2 linked regions of the Coturnix japonica genome follow. The protein of the gene in region 1 interacts with the protein of each later gene in a biochemical or structural test. Links are inferred from orthologs where the notes say so. Each region holds a gene or a part of one and is shown on either strand. Other genes may lie near its edges.

Region 1 (8,468 bases):
TCCCAGGAATGCAGACATCTCCTCCAACCACTTCACATCATTCACAAAAAATCATTTATTTAAGACCCCACATTTTATGTTGGTGTTACCTATCAAAGTGCAGAACTGTTTGGTAAGCATCAGGACTGGATGTGTCAGTAATGCAGCCCTGGTTGGTGCCAGCAGCACAGGATCATACGCTGCCAACAAACATGGGGGGAAAAAAACCAACCCAAAGTGGAAGCAAAGGCTGAAATCCATCATTTCACTTTGTTGCTATGATTCTTCCACGCTGCAAAAGAACAGCAACAAAAAGTCTACAGCCTTTGTAACAAGCACTTGCAAAGTCATGAAGTAATAGAACAGCCTGATAAGGACAACTTTTGGAACAGGGAGATGCTCAGCGAGAAGCTCATTGAAATGGAGCCGTTGTTTACCCTCTCCAGCAGTATCATACTTTCTGCCGCCTCCCTCAGAGTTCTTGATTTCCATGATAATTGCAGAGATATGCCTTAAAGAAAAATGACTTCAGGAGGTACAGTTGCTGGTGGAAATAATCCTGCTTTAATGCATGCATTTGAATTCTGCCCATGATGCATTCCCAGCCACAGTAAACATCTCCTGCATTCAACGGGGTAACAATGCTTGCACCAAACCCACTGCTTCACTACGTTAAGGGATAAGAGCTCGAGAAACAGGAGTGGCCTTTCATTCAGAACATCTCTGTGAAATCATGAATCAAAGACACAAAGACATACCAACTTAATTAGATATGAGGTCACACTGACCATAATATAGTTGGAATGCAACAGGGAAAGCGGCCCTCCCACCACTGAAAGCACACTGCCCACATCATTCCTTGAAGTAATTAGAATACTGTTGTTTTGGGGTTTTTTAAATAATCCATCCACAAGGCCCTGATGGGGAATACAACACACAACCTCCAACTTGTTTTCTGCCACGGTTACGCATAAAAAGTGTTTAAAACAAAATACGAATAGTTCGAAATCTGACGGTGCCAAGCAGCTTGGAAAGCAGCGGTAAAGCACAAAAGGAGCCAGCACCTTTCATCTCCCCCAGCATTAAATCGGAGCAGGTCTCGCTCTCAGCGCTGACAGCAGCTCCCGAGGCAGCAGCAGCAGCACATCGTGCACGGCAGCCTTCAAACAAGGCCACAGCTCCGGGACAAGCCGCAGCTTCGGAGGATCGCTGGCACACGGAGCCGCTCCCGCCCGCAGAGCGCAAAGCCTCCACTTTCGTGGCACCTCCGGCACACGCGCGCTCAGTTAAACGCACATAAGCCTGCAGCCTAAAGCAGAGATCGGGGCAGGTTTCCACCGCAGGGAAACTTGGCTAAGGATAAGAGCGCCCGGAGGGCCGCCGAGGGGAGCGAGTTCCCGGGGCAGGGCAGCCCGAGCAGCGGGCGGCGCTCCCAGCGGGTGCCGTTCCTATCGGGTGCCGTTTCCCAACGGGGCGATCGCGTGTGGCTCCCGATCCCCGCCGTTACCTGGCAGCGGCGAGTCCGCCCCCGGGCGCGCTCCTCCGCGTCGGGCTCCGGCTGAGCCTCGGCTGCCGGCGGCCGAGGGGAGCGGCGGCGGCGGGGCGGGCGGCCGCGGAGGGAGCGGGCGGCGGGCGAGGGGGCGCGGCGGCGCTGCCGGCCAGCAGGTAGAGCAGCAGCAAACTGCCCAGCGCCAGCAGCGCCGCCGCCACCTTGCACGACAGCCGCATGGCGACGGCTCAGCGCGACCGCCCGCCCCTCTGCGCGCCCGCCGCCATCGCCGTCACCATCGGCCGCGGCCCGGAGCGGGGACGTGGCCGCCGAGCCCCGGCCGGCGCCCGGCAGCAGGGGCGGGGCGCGCCCTACCGTACTGTCTGGAGTAGCCGCCCCCAAACAGCGCTCGGGACGGAGGAACGGGAGGAAGGACGCTTCGTGCGGAGCACCGTGCCGGTGAATTAGTGACAGTCGTCGCGTTTCCCGGCAGGAGGAGGCTGGGCTTCGCTGCGGTACTTACAGCTACCTCCGATTTCCACGTTCACACAGGACTCTGCTCGTGTGGGGGCTCAGTGCGTGTGGATGGAAAGGTGAGGAGCGGGAGGGGACAGGGGATGCGGGCTGTTCACCTGCTGCTGCTGCGGGCATCGTGCAGCACATCGTGCAGCACATCACACTACTGTAACTGCCGGGCTGTAACGGGACCAGCCGCAGAACAGTGCAGGAATAAGAACGTTTTAACGCTGGGACTTGTGTCTACATCGTCATCTCCTTTCTCCTCCCTTCGTAGCTGATGTTCAGCGTCCGACCACAGAATCGTTTGGGTCGGAACGGGCTTTTAAAGCTCATCCAGCCCAACTGCCCCGCGGGTACAAGGACACCCGCGGCTCTGCTGGGCGCTCACAGCCCCCCGGCATCACAGGGAATGTCTGCGGGCCGCAATGCCCAGCACAGCACAGCACAGCACAGCACAGCACAGCACAGCACAGCACAGCACAGCACAGCACTGCACAGCACTGCACAGCACTGCACAGCACTGCACAGCACAGCACAGCACAGCACAGCGCAGCGCAGCACAGCACAGCACTGCACAGCACTGCACAGCACAGCACAGCGCAGCGCAGCGCAGCACATGCCGCAGCTCCGGCTGCACACAGCGGCACTGCGGGGCACGCTGCCATGTGTCAGGGTTGTGTCCGCTCCCGCCGTTCTCTGCGGGCGGGCGGCCCTCGGGGCGGGGCCGTTCCCGTGCATGCGCACCGCCTGCCCCGGCTCCACGGGCGCGGTGAGGGCGGGCGGCGAGTGGGGTGGGTGCTGTGTGTTGTGCTGCTGTGTTGGACGGTGCGGAGCTGCAGGCAGGACACGGCTCGTTTCTGAGGCTCAGCATCCGCGTTTGTCCACAGGGGGGAGGTGGTGGGTCGGTTAGTGGGTCCCACTCGCGTGCACAGGAACTGCGGCCCTCGTGGAGCGGGTCGGTGTGCGGTACGAGGTGCAGCAGTGCTCGGTGTGTGGGTTCGTGTTTGTCCTTATGTTCGGTGTCCGTGTGCGCTCACATCAGTGGGAGGTTGGAAACAGTTTGCAGAGTTGATGAATTCTAGGACTGGATGCGTTTTCCCCTTAATGAGTGCAACTAGTGCCCTGTGCTCTGCGTGCTTCTGTTTATGTACATAAAGCTGTGTTGCAGCAAGTGCAGCAAGATGGACCTTCAGGCCACGAGTGGAAATGCTTTTATCATCATCATCATTATTATTATTATTAATATTATTATTATTATGTGCTGTTGTTGTGTTTTCTTGGCTATGTGAGAATCACAAATGGCCTTAAAGAGTCTTCAGGACACGCTTTCTGCTGCTGTAAAATGGCAGCTGCAATAATTTATATCTCTTTCCCCATTTAATAGGGCCGTAGCACTGGTGGGAGCTTCTCCTGTGCTGGATTCATCATGATAACTCCAGACTTTGAGCTGAGCCAGGATCTCGATTTTCTTATAATAACCATCCGGGTGCCTTATGCCAAAGTGTCAGAGCTTGACCTGTTCTTTGAAGGGGAAGACTTCAAATTCTATGCCAAGCCTTACTTTCTCAGGTAAGCGGTGAAAGCGTTTTAAAAAGGTTGGACTTAATGAGATAAACGTTGGTAGAAAATGACCTTCATTTTGGGTCCTTCTGAACCTTCCTGGTCTGTAACTCTCACACTGTAGGCTGCACACAGCCCGTTTTCAGCATGGAACTGTATTTATGGATCTGGTACATTTGATTCCAGGTGTTGCCACCTTAAAAAGAGCTTAAGGAACTTCTACTTTTATATTAGCATTGATTTTTAATAGTAAACTGACAGCTTAATTCTTTGAATGCACCTAGGTCTTATAGAGTGTGTCATTTCCCCACTGAGAGTCAGGTATGATATATTTTGTGTGGAAAGAATTTTGATGCCTGCCTGATTAAATCCATGTGGTGCAGGTGTCAGGGAGTGAGGTTCCAGGCTTCGTTTTTTAGCAAGTGCCTTGCAATGCTATGGGAAAGAAACAATCAGCAATCTCATTGTGGAAATGTTGAGAGAATCTTTGACGTGTAAGGGCTGATGAGCCATGAACCCTTTTTATTTTCTACTTCCTGTTTTGTTGGATGTACTTATCCTATATGTGTATATATGCCATATATATATGTTAGTAGACCATAAAGGATTTCATTAGGTTGGTGGAAAGCACTGAGTTGGCTGCCTCATGTCCTGTCACAGTGGATTAGCTTAAAGGTTTTTAAATTACAGCATCTCTCAATTGCTGAAGTTAGTACTAAGGGTGTTGTGTCTGCGCTAGCTGTGACTTTGTCATTAACTTAAAGCTGCAGAGAGATTTTAGTTCATGACTTCCATTATTACCAACAGAATCACGTTGTTAAGTTGTTTGTACTGCCCTTGGAATGTGCCTTACATTTTTATGTGCTGAGATGTGAAGTTGCAGAATTAGTCAGGCATTCAATGAGACATCTCTTTATTTCCATCCAGACTGACACTTCCTGGAAGAGTTGTGGAAAATGGCAGAGAAAAAGCATCTTATGACACAGACAAAGGTATTGTTTAATATTTTATTGTAGTTGTCATGAAGAATACTGACTCTTCACTAGTTTATCTTGCAGTGGAAATGCGTGGAACTTTATCAAAGTGTGAATAAATAAATCCTGTAAATAAATGTAACTTCTCTTGTGTTACGTGGTTTTAAAAAAAGAAAACTTGCTGAGGATTTGTTGTGTGCAGTCTGTCGTTAAGTTTAAATGACTTGTCTGCAACTGTCTTAAAATACAAGAATGAAATGTGTCAAGCCCTGTTGGAGGCAGACACACCATTGTTCAAATATGTGACTTCTTCAGAGTCTTGCAAATCTGTGAAGAAGAGTGGTACTAAGCAGAAATGAGATGATCCCGAGACGTTCTCTTGACTAAGTCATAAGAGAGGACACTTTAAAGGTGGAAGGTGTTTCTGGAATAAAGTACCTTTTGAAATAAGCATACTCATAAACAGAAAGGCTTATGAAGGCTTTGTTTTGTGCTTGAAACGATAATCAGAGGGTTGAATAGCTTCTTGTAGCCATCCGTTGATGACAATTAATTGAAGTTTTTCTGTTGGTGTGTAGGTGACCACAGTTTGTTAAATGCTGTCTTTTATGCTTTAACATCTTTGATTTTTGTGTAATTTGTTATGGAAGTTTAAAAACATGTTTATATATCAGTGCGTAGTAGATTGCTACCTGCATGTACCTCAGCTTCATAAGCCTTTTACAGTAGAGGGGAAAATGAGCATTTTTGTTTGCCATGATTATTTCAATGTGGTAACTATATTCTGCCTTTATTATAAGGGACTTTTACAATTCAGTTACCTAAGGAGAGTCCTGGACAGTATTTTGAAGGTCTGGACATGCTGACATCTCTCTTAGCACCGAAGAAATCAAGGACAGCAAAACCTTTAGTGGAGGAGATAGGTATGACAAGAACTTAACTAAGTTATCAATTTAGGTACAAAATGAAATAGTTATAGATCTCCATAGTAATATATTTAATAAAAAGTGTTTCTGATATTGTTTAGGCCAAGGTAGAAGCAAAGTTTGAATGACTCTGGAATTTTGTGGGTTACTGAAAGGAATGTCTTGTAGTAGTTAATACATGTGCTATCTATGGGCTGTCTGTAGGTTAGTTATGATATCATCTTTTACAAAATGTGTTTAATGTGTGCTAATCCTCTGCAGATCTTTGTACCCCTCTAGTGGCTGTATAATAAACACACATGTGAGCCTTCCATGATGTAGCACAACTGGTCCTTTGGCTCTAAGGGCAGAAGCTAATTAAAACCACTTGTTCTAGTGGATGACTTGCTTAACATATTTTTCAGAAAATGTGACTGTCTATGATTAATTTTGTGGGCATCTGTCTTAAATTGTGGATAACTTTGTTATGTTCCTCTTGTGGTCCCCTTAGAATAAAATCCTGAGCTTGTTGAAATCAGTGGAACAATTGCTTTAGACTCTGACCGTGTGTGCTCAAAGCTTTAGTTTTCCTTGTCTCTATTCTTGCAATTTTTTTAATACTAGAGCAGGACCTGTTGCTCATTGCTGTGTGCATCTGCCTTCTCAAACACTTGAATAACCTATGACTTTTTCTGTAGTTCACTGAACTTGTTTGTGATAGAGGCAGTCTAGTCCAATGTGAACATATAGGTGTGTGCCACCCTTCAGGGTTAGGATAGAATTGGAAAATTGGGCTTGTGTGTTAAAGCAAGTGGTATTTTGCGTGTTACGGGTGGTAAGAGTGTATGGGTGCATTTTGTTAGGAGGCTGCCCTTTGCAGAGGGATGCAGCGAAGGTCCAACGATTCTGAACATCTATAGTTGGAAAGTCTGTTATGGCTGATTTGCATTCAGACTATCTGGTTTAGGAAAATTCTCAGGATATTCTCAGTGTCAGTCCCATAAAGTGGGATGTGAAATTGCGTAGTTCACATGTTTACCTTTTCCCCTTCTGTTTCTTTAAATTATAGTTAGCCCAGCACTGCAGAAGATTTCTTAAATAAATAAAAAGTGCTTATTTTGTTTGCCTTTCTTCAAATCATATGCATAAAGTTTTCTTTCTCTGATCATGCATATACCCAGGTGTCCCTGCAGAGTTGGAGGAGGAGGAAGAGGAAGAATTTGACTGGGAAATAGAGCAGACCCTTTATAAGGAAGCTGCAGAAAGTCCTTTGCCACTTCAGTGCTACTATGGGTTTGGGAATCTGCGGTCAGGGGTATTTCAGAGGCTGCAGGTAAATTAATTCTTTTTCCTGTCATAAAGATTCCAAGTACCTTTCTCCTTGGGTGGGGTTCCTGGTTCATTCTGTAGCCAGGAGAAGATTGTTAGGTAACAATTCTCCATTGCTGAATTCTAGCTGTGTTTCTCCTGTGGATTAGTTGGTAGAACAGGAGCTTCGAAGTGTCTTTACTTTGCTCCTGTCTGTTCAGCAGTTAAACAGGCAGAAGCTAATCTACAACCAGTAACATGCTAAGTAGGATGATTTTCATAGCATACAAAGCTTTAATAAAAGAAGTGGATTATATTTCTTTAATTTTCTACTTAAATTCTTTCTCTGAGTGATTTCAGTAGCCTTTCAAAGCAAATTGCACAACTTTGTAAATCACTGCATGAATTGTAATCGTTTAAGGTTTTGGGGCAGATGACTGCTGTCTGTGGAGAAAGCATTTGTATTCTGTTAGGATATTTGCACTGGCTTATTACTGTGAAATTTCTGAAGTAGTCCATTTGTCATCAGCATTAATGTACCTCCAGGTACTGATGTTTGAGAGGGCACTGCAATTGCCTGTTGATTAATGTATGGCCACTTCAGAGTGGAGGAGTAATCTCAAGGCAGAAGAACAGTATTTGATTTCTATCTCTTTGTGGTTCTGTTTTTGCTAAACAATACTATTTTCATAATAATGCAGAATAATCTGTGTGCCTTGTGGTAAATAGACAATAGAACTTGTAATATTTGAAGGTGCCTTAGAATTTGGGATAATTGAAGTGTTGATGTTTTATTTATGCAACAGAGCCTGAGTTTGGAAGATTTGTCAGGAAAATCAAACAACATCCTTCCGAAACTTTTACTAAAGAATCTTGCACACTTTCTGTGGCTTTGTCAGCTCCCTTTTGTTACACTTCCAGGATGAACTTGGTGATGTTATAGACCTTAAGGATCCAGACCAAACTCCAATAGATGAACGTAAGATGAAGCGCCTGGAAGCTGAAGCTGCCAAGTTTGATCCTGATCATTACCTGTGAGTACCAATTTATTTCACCTGGTGAAGTAGGAGTGCTCCAAAGTTTAAAATCACTTTTGGAAATAACTTCATTTTTCATCTGCCTTTGTCTCTTCAGACTGGGCTGTGGGGGACAGTCACAAGTGTGACATGGGCACAGGGCATTCTTTTGTGTTTTGATGTTGCTCTGCTGTTAAATCAAGCTTAGAAGTCAGTTGGTACTCAAGCAGGTCTGCTGTGGACTGTTGACCTCAAGGAGAATCTACACAAGCTAATATATATATATGACACCTAAGGAAGGCCTAAAAAAAATATAAGTGAGAATTAAGCAAACTGCAGTCTGTGTTCAGTAGTTTGGGCAACTTTTGTATTAAGAGTATTAAGAAATGCACTGTATTTTTTTCCTCTATTCTCAGTATTTGTACTATTGTTTGACTTGAAGAGAAAGCAAGAATAAGAGGAAGCTTAAAACTTAAACCCTTTAATATAAATCCCTGAAGACCTAACATATTGACATTTTACTCCTGCGTTGTGCTGAGATGTGCCTCTTCCATAATTCACAACACTTCCTCTTCCACCTTGCAAAGACATGCATTTGTTTCCTTAAAAGTCAGTCCTTATCTCTACTTTTCTTTGCTCTTTAGCCACATACCGTTTCTCTCTAAATATACTTGCTTTGAAAGTGAGCAACCTTACTAATAAAGTCAATTTTGCTGCT
Region 2 (8,812 bases), on another chromosome or scaffold:
CGGGGATATGTGTCTCTCTCCATGATTACTCTCTTGATCTTTGCTACCACGCCATGGTCGCAGGTAGAAATGACAGCAGTAGTCATCAAGGCAATGGCTGCAGAAACAAGCAGGGAGCTTACCAACACATCACAACAGCAAAACTGTGAGAGTACAGATGCAAGAGTATGCTGGGTTCAGGCTGCTCCTCCTCTGGCAGCACAAAGGAAAGACAAAACGCCATATCCCCCTGAAAACCTCACTGGAGGAAAGCTTTGCACTCAAGCTTCAGAAAGATGCCGATCTCAAAGGCTGAGCTGATATGACCACATCAGTCTGAAAACACTCCCACAGCTGCCAGTGAGGCACAGCTGGGATTTCTATCAGGTGGCAGCATGTAATCAGATGTCATCCCTCGTCTCAGTGAGGACAGAGCCCCCCGGAGAGGGGCCCTGACCCTGCCTGCACCGCTTTGCTCCTGCAGGCAGCCAGCCACACACCACAGCAGCCCCCAGCAGGACGCTGGGACACTGCAGGGTCTCTGGAGGTTGCACGGCACCCAGACCCTAGAACAGGAATCGGGTGCTGCAGGAGGGCAGTGCCAGCGCACTCAGAGAATGGATAAACTTCTTCATCACCTCACACACAGCACACCTGAGTTCTATGCAACTGAAACACTGAGGAACACCTCGTACTTTGCTGTATAATAGCTTTTAGGGAAGCACTACTTCAACCTCCCCATGCACTGGGTCTCTTCTAATATAACTTCACCAGAAAGTAGTTTGTTATTTCTGCATAGGTGGGCACAGGAATAAGCCAGCTTCATACCTAGGCAGATAGCTTCTCCTTTGGTGGTGATGACTACGATCTCTTGATTAAGCTCAATACCATCTTCATACCTCAGGACACCAGGCAACATGATCTTGGCTCCATAGCAAATGGCATTAACCTAAAGAGGAAGGGAACAGCAAGGCCTGTAAGCAACTGGAGGACAAAATGAGTGCAAGAAGTACCTCTAATTTTGCCTTCCCATTCTCATTACTGTTATTAACAATAACACTAACATGTTTCTAGCTGACTACCAATACCAGGTCCTACACAGCACATGACATGACAGTGCTGTGCACCACGAGGACCCTGATCCCTCATTTATGAGCTGCATAAGACAGGACACAACCACTGCATCGAGCAGCCCTAACTCAGGAACTCACCGCACTGTCTTTCATGACGAGCCTCTTGTGTGAGGTGAGCAGCTTCTCCAGGGGCAGGATGACACGCCGCAGGTAGCTGTCATCCTTGTTGTTGTCATACTGCCACTGTGCATCCAGCACGTCATGCATGGTCACCATGTTGTCCTGCAAAGATACAGCCCCTATGAACTCAGAGCAGCCACCAGCTCGAAACACGCACAAGACACAGCTGAAGCCTAATGGCAGATAGCGTGCTGGAAGGGGGAGAAAATTGGTGCCCAATTCAGAAACATCTATAAAATCTCCATAGAAAAGGCAAGAACAAGCATGTCCTGCTGGCAGCTCGAGGGCAGTCTCATCTCTGCTGCTTCAGGCTTCTACCTGCCCAACATCACACTGCACTGGGATCAAGTGTGCAAACTCTGTCTATGTAAAACACTTTTCAAGTGGGACCAAGCTTAAATGCGCCCTTTGCTAAGGCACACTATTCCCTGCACTGCACCCTGACAACAAGTGATCACACTGCTGAGCAAGCAGCTCGTGTGCCCAAACTCCAGACACGTGTAGGTTGTAGGCTGAGAAACACAGGTGGCATAAGACAAACTTTCAGTCACCAGGGTGCACTTCCCAGTCATTTCTGTCCCAAAGTTTAATTACCAGAACAGGGACAAGACCCTGAACTGAACTCAACACTTTGGTTCTAGGTTGCCTATGGCAAGTGCCACGACTGCCAGGTGTATTCACAGCACTTCCCAGTCACTGTGCACCTACACCCATCCCCAGCACCAAAGAAGAAAGACCATTTTGGGGAACTCCTGCAACCTCCCAGTTTCTAGTTACACTCCCAATCAAATCACCCCCCTACCATCTCTCCCAGGATGCCCGACCGCACTCTCCGGAGCTCCTGCATTTGGCCCCCAACACCGAGCAGCAAACCAAGGTGGACACAAAGTGTTCGGATGTACGTTCCTGCTTCACAGCTCACCCAGAAGATACCTGAAACACAAGAGAGAATTGATATGTACAGCTACCAATGAGCCACATCTAGAGGCTCCACATCCAGCCCCTCACAGAGCCATCAGCATGGGGTGATAGATGAAGGTCATCTTTGCACTGAGTGCTAATGCCATCTAGCTGACATCATTTGGCTCTTCAGTGAAGGGTGCAAAACTAACAAAGCAGGTGAGATTTGTTTCTCAGTGTAAATAACGCACAAAGCATTTACTGCTCGGTGGGTGCAAGGATCTGTATCTCAGCACACCTGCAAAGAATGGGAAACAGCACACGAACTGGGAGAGTAACCAAAGGCAGGAAAGGTGTATTTTACCCAGTCTTCTCTCAGGATCGTACTCCACCAGCTTGCTCTCATAGATGGTCCGGACTCTCAGCTGTCGCTTAACAGCAGCGATGAGGGGCGGTCGCTGGAAGAGTGCTCCTGTCAGGGTTTCTATGGCCTGAAGGTAGAAGCAAATGAAATAACACCTTAAGCTGGGCCATTAGTACAGCTGACACCTGAGCACCTCAGGGTCTCCAGGAATTGAAGACCTCTGTGAGTGACAGGCTCATCACCACGTGGTTATCTCGTATTTAAGAAAGCTGGTGTGAACCACTGATGTGGTCAAAACGCTCCCACAGCTGCCAGTGAGGCACAGTTGGGATTTCCATCAGGTGGCAGCATGCAATCAGATGTCATCCCTCGTCTCAGTGAGGACAGAGCCCCCAGAGGCGGCCCTGACCCTGCCTGCACCGCTTTGCTCCTGCAGGCAGCCAGCCACACACCACAGCAGCCCCAGCGGACGTGGGACACTGCAGGGTCTCCTGGAGCTGCACGGCACCCAGACCCTAGAACAGGAATCGGGTGCTGCAGGAGGGCAGTGCCAGCGCACTCAGAGAATGGATAAACTTCATCATCACCTCACACACAGCACACCTGAGCTCTGCTCCTACCCGCTCATCTCCCACAGAAGCTGAACTCTTTGCACAGAGTACCAGTGTGGCCAACAGTCCAACAGTGTGCTGAGACTTACCCTGGCAAGCTGAGCCTCACTTTCAATTGCATTGTGCAGCCGAACAATTCCCACATACTCTTTGCCTGAAAGAACGACAAGAGCAGTCAGGAGCGGCCACTTGCATTTAATGTTGACCTCAAGTCATGCACTGCCATACAAACAGCTCTCCTAGGAGGTGCACACCACTCAGACATTATTCTCCCCCCAAACCAATCTTAGCTGCATGTTTATTTCTTCGCTGTGTTTTATTCTTTGGGATTTACACACTTGTGCCTCAAGTTGAGTTTGCACGTAAAACCTGTCTTTCAGACCTGTTTTCACTGACCTAAAAGAGCACAAGCCCCAGAGAAGCAATCAGAAAAACCACCTGAGACAGCACGGATGTGCCCTCGATGGCTGGAAGCAAGATGGATAAGCAATCCTTGAGCTCAAGGCACTGAAGGCTTAGGGCAAGAATGAATATCTCCTTGCCTCCACAAGAGCTCTGCATCTCCTCAACCACTTTGACCACAGTCTGGTGGCAATGAACCTACCTGCACTCTGCTGAGACTTAACGAGTCGTGTCGCTCTCTCAATGCACACAATGAGGCATCCGGTCACTTTAGGGTCCAGGGTGCCACTGTGCCCTGTCTTCTCTACTCTAAGGATGCGCCGGATCCACGCCACCACCTCATGGGAGGATGGATTGGAAGGCTTGTCCAGATTGATGAAGCCAGACCTATAGTGTGAGATGACAGGTTAGGAGCTACACGTCGGGGCCAACAACAGCAATGTGAAAAACAGGATGAGGTTTGTCATGGTAACACAGAAACGTTTCTGAATAAACAGCTGGACAGGAGCTGAGCCACAGAGCTGCTCCACCAAGCACACGTGGAGCTGTGCTCACACATGCTGTGATTAAACACTGCTCTCCATTCTGCTACCATAGCTCAGCGTGTAGCATATGTAATCAGTGGGTTGTTCTGCTCACCGTATATAGTCAGAGATCTCCCTCTTCAAGGGATTAGCACCGGACGGGAGGGGTGTGTAGTGTGTCGTCAGCACGTTGAGCTTGTCAAAGTTCTACAAAAGCAAAGCAAAGAAGTTAAGTATCAGGAGATGGAGGTGAGCCTGAGGATAACAGCATAACACTGTGCAGTGCTGCTGGTTGCACAGGGGGGGCTTTGCATTCAGGTTTATGAGGCAAAACGACTGTAACAGCACAGCCGTGGGGCAGGAAAAGGAGCAGCACAAATAAACCCCATCACGGAGCAGGAACACGAACCACATCCAAAGGCGGGGAGCCACCGCCCGGCTGTGCTCGGTACCTTCAGCAGCAGCGGCCATTGGGACGTGTCCAGCTGCGCCACGCGGGACTCGGGCTTGATGAGGAACTCCTCGGTGTGCTGGATGTCCTGCGGGGCACAACGGGGCGTCAGGGGGCACAACGGGGGGATACAACGGGGGGATACAGCGAAGGGTCGGAGGCACCACGCGGTAGCGCTCACCACCGCCCTCCCCCGCTCCCGCCGTGGGACACGTGGATCCCACGGTGGATCCGTCCCACGGTGGATCCGTCCCACGGTGGCTCCCCCCGCCGCCCTCACCGCCACATCCTCGTCGGGCAGCGATCGCTTGTCCTTCTTCCGCCGCTTCTTCACGGCAGAACCTACGGGAGAGGCACACTCAGCGGCCCGCGGGACCGACGAGGCGCCATCCGGCCCGGCCCGGCCCGGCCCCCCCCGTCCCGCAGGACACGGCGGGCTCCTCCCGCCCCGCGCCCCGCCCCGTCCCGCCGCTCACCGTCCCCGTCCGCCATGACCGCACCGCGTGCTGCCGCCGCGCCGAGAGCGGAAAGACCACCCCTTCCCGACAGCCCCCGCGGCGCCACGTGACGCCGGGTGGGCGGGGCCTCGCGCTCCCGCCGTGCGTGACCACGCCCACTCACTGGCCCCGCCCACCGCCCCAGCAACCAATCGCTGCAGCCAGAGAGCGCCCGCTCCGCAGCTTTATTGCAGGCCCCGAGCCGGGCCGTAACATGGTGTTACATGGCACTACACGGTGTTACACGGTACTACATGGTAATACACGGTGTTACACGGTGATACACGGTGTTACACGCCCCGCCGGCGGGGCTCAATCGACCCGAGCCCGTCCCGCCGGCAGCCCCCGAGCAGGACAGTTCCGTATCAGTCCTGGATGCTCCGGGCACGGCGGTGCTGGCGCTCACAGCCCGTTCCCCGCGGGGCTGAGCAGGTCGTGCAGCACGAGGTGCAGCAGGTGGTTCTGCTCGGCGCTCAGCAGCGGCCACAGCTCCGCCTGCAGCGCCCGCAGCGCGGCCGCGTCCTTCTCCTGGCAGGCCAGCACTGCGGACTGCAGCAGCAGGAACAGCCGTGCGGGCAGGTAACCGGCAGCCGCCGGCAGCCCCCCGCCCGCCGCGCCGCCCTCGGGCGGCTCCCAGCAGTACTGCTCCAGCGTGCGGGCGTGCTCGGGCGGCAGCTTGCCGGGCGGCGGCTGCAGGAGCAGCAGCAGCAGCACCCGCGACACCTCGCAGCTCACCAGCGCGTCCAGGAAGGCTCCTCCGGGCGCGGCCCCGCCGCCGCCGCCCCCGGTCCCGATCCCGGCTCCGGCTCCGGCCAACGCCTGCGCCCGGGTGAGCGCGGCCAGAGCCCCGGCGTAGTCGCGGCCCAGCAGCAGGCAGGAGGCGCGCTCCGTCAGGCAGCGCAGCGCCTCCAGGGGCAGCTTAGCGGCCGTCAGCAGCTCGGCCGCCCTCTGCAGGTGCGCGGCGGCGCGGGCGGGCCGGCCCGTGTCTCGCAGCGCCGCCGCCATCTCCAGGCAGAGCCCGGCCGCCAGCGCCGGCTGCCCCCGCTCCAGGTGCAGGCGGGCGGCGAACGCCCCGCAGCTCTGCGCCGCCGCCAGGTGCTCGCCGAACCCCCCGCGCAGAGCCAGGCGCTGCCGCAGGTCCCGCTCCTGGCGCAGGAACAGCCGCGCCGCTTCGCACAGCGCCGCCGCCTCGGCCGGGCCGTGGAACAGGCTCTGCGCGCAGCGCGCCACCGCCAGCTGGCACCACGCCGCGTACGGCAGGCTCTCCTGAGCGCGCAGCTCCCGCGCCAGCGCCGCGAACTGCTCCGCCGCCTCCGCCACGTTCGGCTTCCGCAGGAACCGCCGCCGCAGTTTGGCCGACACCAGCCGGTACCGCGACAGGAAGTCCCCGTCCCCGCCGCCGGGACCCGGCCCGGTTCCGGAGCCGCCCGAACCGCCGGGCCCCGAACCGCCCGCCGCCAGCATCACGCGTCGCACGGAAGTGACGCGATCGCGCCGCGTCCCGCCGGAGCCTCATGGCGCCGACCAATCAGCGCCCACTGCCGGGGCATGGGGGGCGGGGCGGGGCGCCCGTGGGGGCGTGGTCTCGCGGAGCCACGCCCATTGGGGGGGGCGGGGCCACGTGGCTGCTGAGCTGCACTGCGAGGCGCGTAATGTCAGTATCGCCCTGCAGCACCGAGCTCACCTCGGGAACCACCTCCAGCAGGGGAAAAACACAGCAACACACGTGGGAGGGGAGGTGGAGCGGGGTGAGACTTGTCACGGGTGGGAGGTGTCAGCAGCCAAGGGCTTATAGGGGCTGTGGGGAACACGGAGCTCTGTCACAGCTGGTGCAGGAGCTGAGCAGTGCCGGGTGAGGTGGGTGCCTCTGGGTCGGGCTGCAGCTGGTGGGGGCCGTGATCAGAGCTGGGAGGGGGAGCGTGAGTTGTGCTGTGACAACAGCTGTGGGTGGCTGCCACACTAATGTGCCTGTAGGCACACACAGTGCGTGCTGCAGGGCTACCTGTGTGTGCAAACCGTGCTGTCTGTGTGCTCAGCTGTGCTGCCCCTTGCAAACTATATGCAGAGCACTGTGATGGGTGTACAGGCAGAGCACGCTGCTCTGAAACCATCAGGGGCTTGGTGGCAACACTGCTGTGCTTTGAGCTGTGAGCGGTGAATGTGGGGAGCTCAGTCCCCTGCTTATATATGACTGTGAGTTACAAGCAGCGAGCTCATGGAGCTCTGCAGCCTCCATCCAGGTGTGCTGCCCTGCCCTGCTGTCCTGGTATGCTGGGCAGGTGTGGAGGGAGCAAAGAAAGGCGGTAGAGAAGTTATGGTATGTGGGAGGGAAGTCGGAGAGTTCTGCAGCTCTCCATCACTCAGCATCACGGAAAGTGGAAAGGGGAGGGAGGCAGTGGGGCATGCAGGAGCTCACAGGCTCACAAAGGGCTCTGTAGGCAGTGGGGCAGGTGCTGGCAGAGGATGTGTCAGTGCCCAGCGTTGGGTCCCTGGGTTGCACATGGCCTGGATTAATGTTTGCTGTACCTGTTTTGTCTCTCATGTGAAATCAGAGCTGGAGTTGGGCTGACCCCCCTCCAGACACTGTTAAGCAGCTCACCCCGCATACTTCCACGGTCTCATCTGCCCCTTCCTGACCTCCTTCATGGCACAGAGCTGGGAGAAGCTGGGACAGGCAGAAGTGGGCTTTGCTTCCCTACCAGTGTTTAATGGGCACATCCTCAGCAGACATTTCCCTACAGAGAGCAGGCAGAGCCTGTTCCTTGCCCAGAGCCATTTTCCCATTGCATCTGGGGCACTGGGTACCACAGGTGGCTGTACTCCGTGTGTATCCCAATGCCCACATGCTTCCAGCTCACCCCAATACCCTGTTACAGCTCTCCCTGCATATTGCATTCCAGGTCTGCACGCTCACGATGGACCCCCTGAGCACCCCCCCTCCTACCATTGAAGTCACTGAGCAGCTCCTGGGTAACTCCTGTCAGATCCACGATGGGTTCCTCTCAGTGACGCTGCCTGTGATGTACTCCCTGATCTTTGCCATTGGGCTGCTCAGCAATGTGCTGGCACTCTGGGTGTTTTCACACAGCATGCAGCGCCAGACCTCCATCACTGTGTACATGAGGAACCTGGCACTCTCCGACCTCCTGCTGGCCCTCTGCCTGCCCTTCCGCATCGCCTTCCAGGACAGGAGTGAGCCCCGTGTCTTTTGTAACATCGTTGGGGCCTTCTTCTACCTCAACATGTATGTCAGCATCACCTTCCTCAGCCTGATCAGCCTGGACCGCTACCTGAAGATCATCCGGCCCCTCCAGAAATACAGGATTCACACCGTGTCCCGCAGCATGTTGGCCTCTGGGATGGTTTGGGTGGTGAACTTTGCCTTCATGCTGCCTTTCTTCTTTGAGAAAAGAGGGAAGGAGTCCTGTGACCATAAATGCTTCCACTTCAGGAGCAAAAGCACCACGGCAGCAGCCCTCAACATGGCCGCAGTAGCTGCCTTCTTCATTGTGCTGCTGCTCTTCCTCTACTTCTATGGCAAGATATTTGCCAAGCTGCACCAGGTCTCCTCAATGAAGGCCCAGCAGCTGAACAAGAAGACCAGCATGAGAGCCATCACCAAGACCTTCGTGGTCCTGATCATCTTCATCGTCTGCTTCACCCCATACCACACTGTCCGCATCCCTTACATCCTGGCGCAGATTGGGGCCATTTCCAGCCTGCCCTGGAAGCAAGGTCTGCACCTTGCTAACGAGCTCGTGCTCTGCATCTCAGCCCTCAACAGCTGCCTCGACCCCATTATCTTCTTTTTCCTGTCCAGCAGTTTCCGCA

What was found.
Region 2: the proteins of SHQ1 (region 1) and DKC1 are reported together in a solved structure, tested with the Homo sapiens proteins (2 studies listed by BioGRID, with this or other methods). The link is inferred for Coturnix japonica from reciprocal best matches to the Homo sapiens genes SHQ1 and DKC1.

Annotation. Positions count from the first base shown.
Region 1 is NC_029527.1:13,897,546-13,906,013, reverse strand, and holds the start of SHQ1 (protein SHQ1 homolog), read left to right. Parts: upstream 1-2,706; 5' UTR 2,707-2,723; coding exon 2,724-2,756; intron 2,757-2,786; exon of another isoform or gene 2,787-2,983; intron 2,984-3,371; coding exon 3,372-3,556; intron 3,557-4,474; coding exon 4,475-4,539; intron 4,540-5,321; coding exon 5,322-5,444; intron 5,445-6,607; coding exon 6,608-6,759; intron 6,760-7,655; coding exon 7,656-7,768; intron 7,769-8,468. Other genes in the region: GXYLT2 (glucoside xylosyltransferase 2), read right to left, coding at 1,487-1,707. UniProt on the Homo sapiens protein: Required for the quantitative accumulation of H/ACA ribonucleoproteins (RNPs), including telomerase, probably through the stabilization of DKC1, from the time of its synthesis until its association with NOP10, NHP2, and NAF1 at the nascent H/ACA RNA.
Region 2 is NC_029519.1:2,064,117-2,072,928, reverse strand, and holds the start of DKC1 (H/ACA ribonucleoprotein complex subunit DKC1), read right to left. Parts: upstream 5,087-8,812; 5' UTR 4,977-5,086; coding exon 4,961-4,976; intron 4,827-4,960; coding exon 4,765-4,826; intron 4,573-4,764; coding exon 4,486-4,572; intron 4,241-4,485; coding exon 4,149-4,240; intron 3,897-4,148; coding exon 3,712-3,896; intron 3,262-3,711; coding exon 3,197-3,261; intron 3,089-3,196; exon of another isoform or gene 2,848-3,088; intron 2,624-2,847; coding exon 2,497-2,623; intron 2,319-2,496; exon of another isoform or gene 2,243-2,318; intron 2,166-2,242; coding exon 2,035-2,165; intron 1,870-2,034; exon of another isoform or gene 1,736-1,869; intron 1,335-1,735; coding exon 1,191-1,334; intron 929-1,190; coding exon 808-928; intron 623-807; exon of another isoform or gene 377-622; intron 98-376; coding exon 1-97. Other genes in the region: 40-kDa huntingtin-associated protein-like, read right to left, coding at 5,384-6,445; probable G-protein coupled receptor 34, read left to right, coding at 7,897-8,812.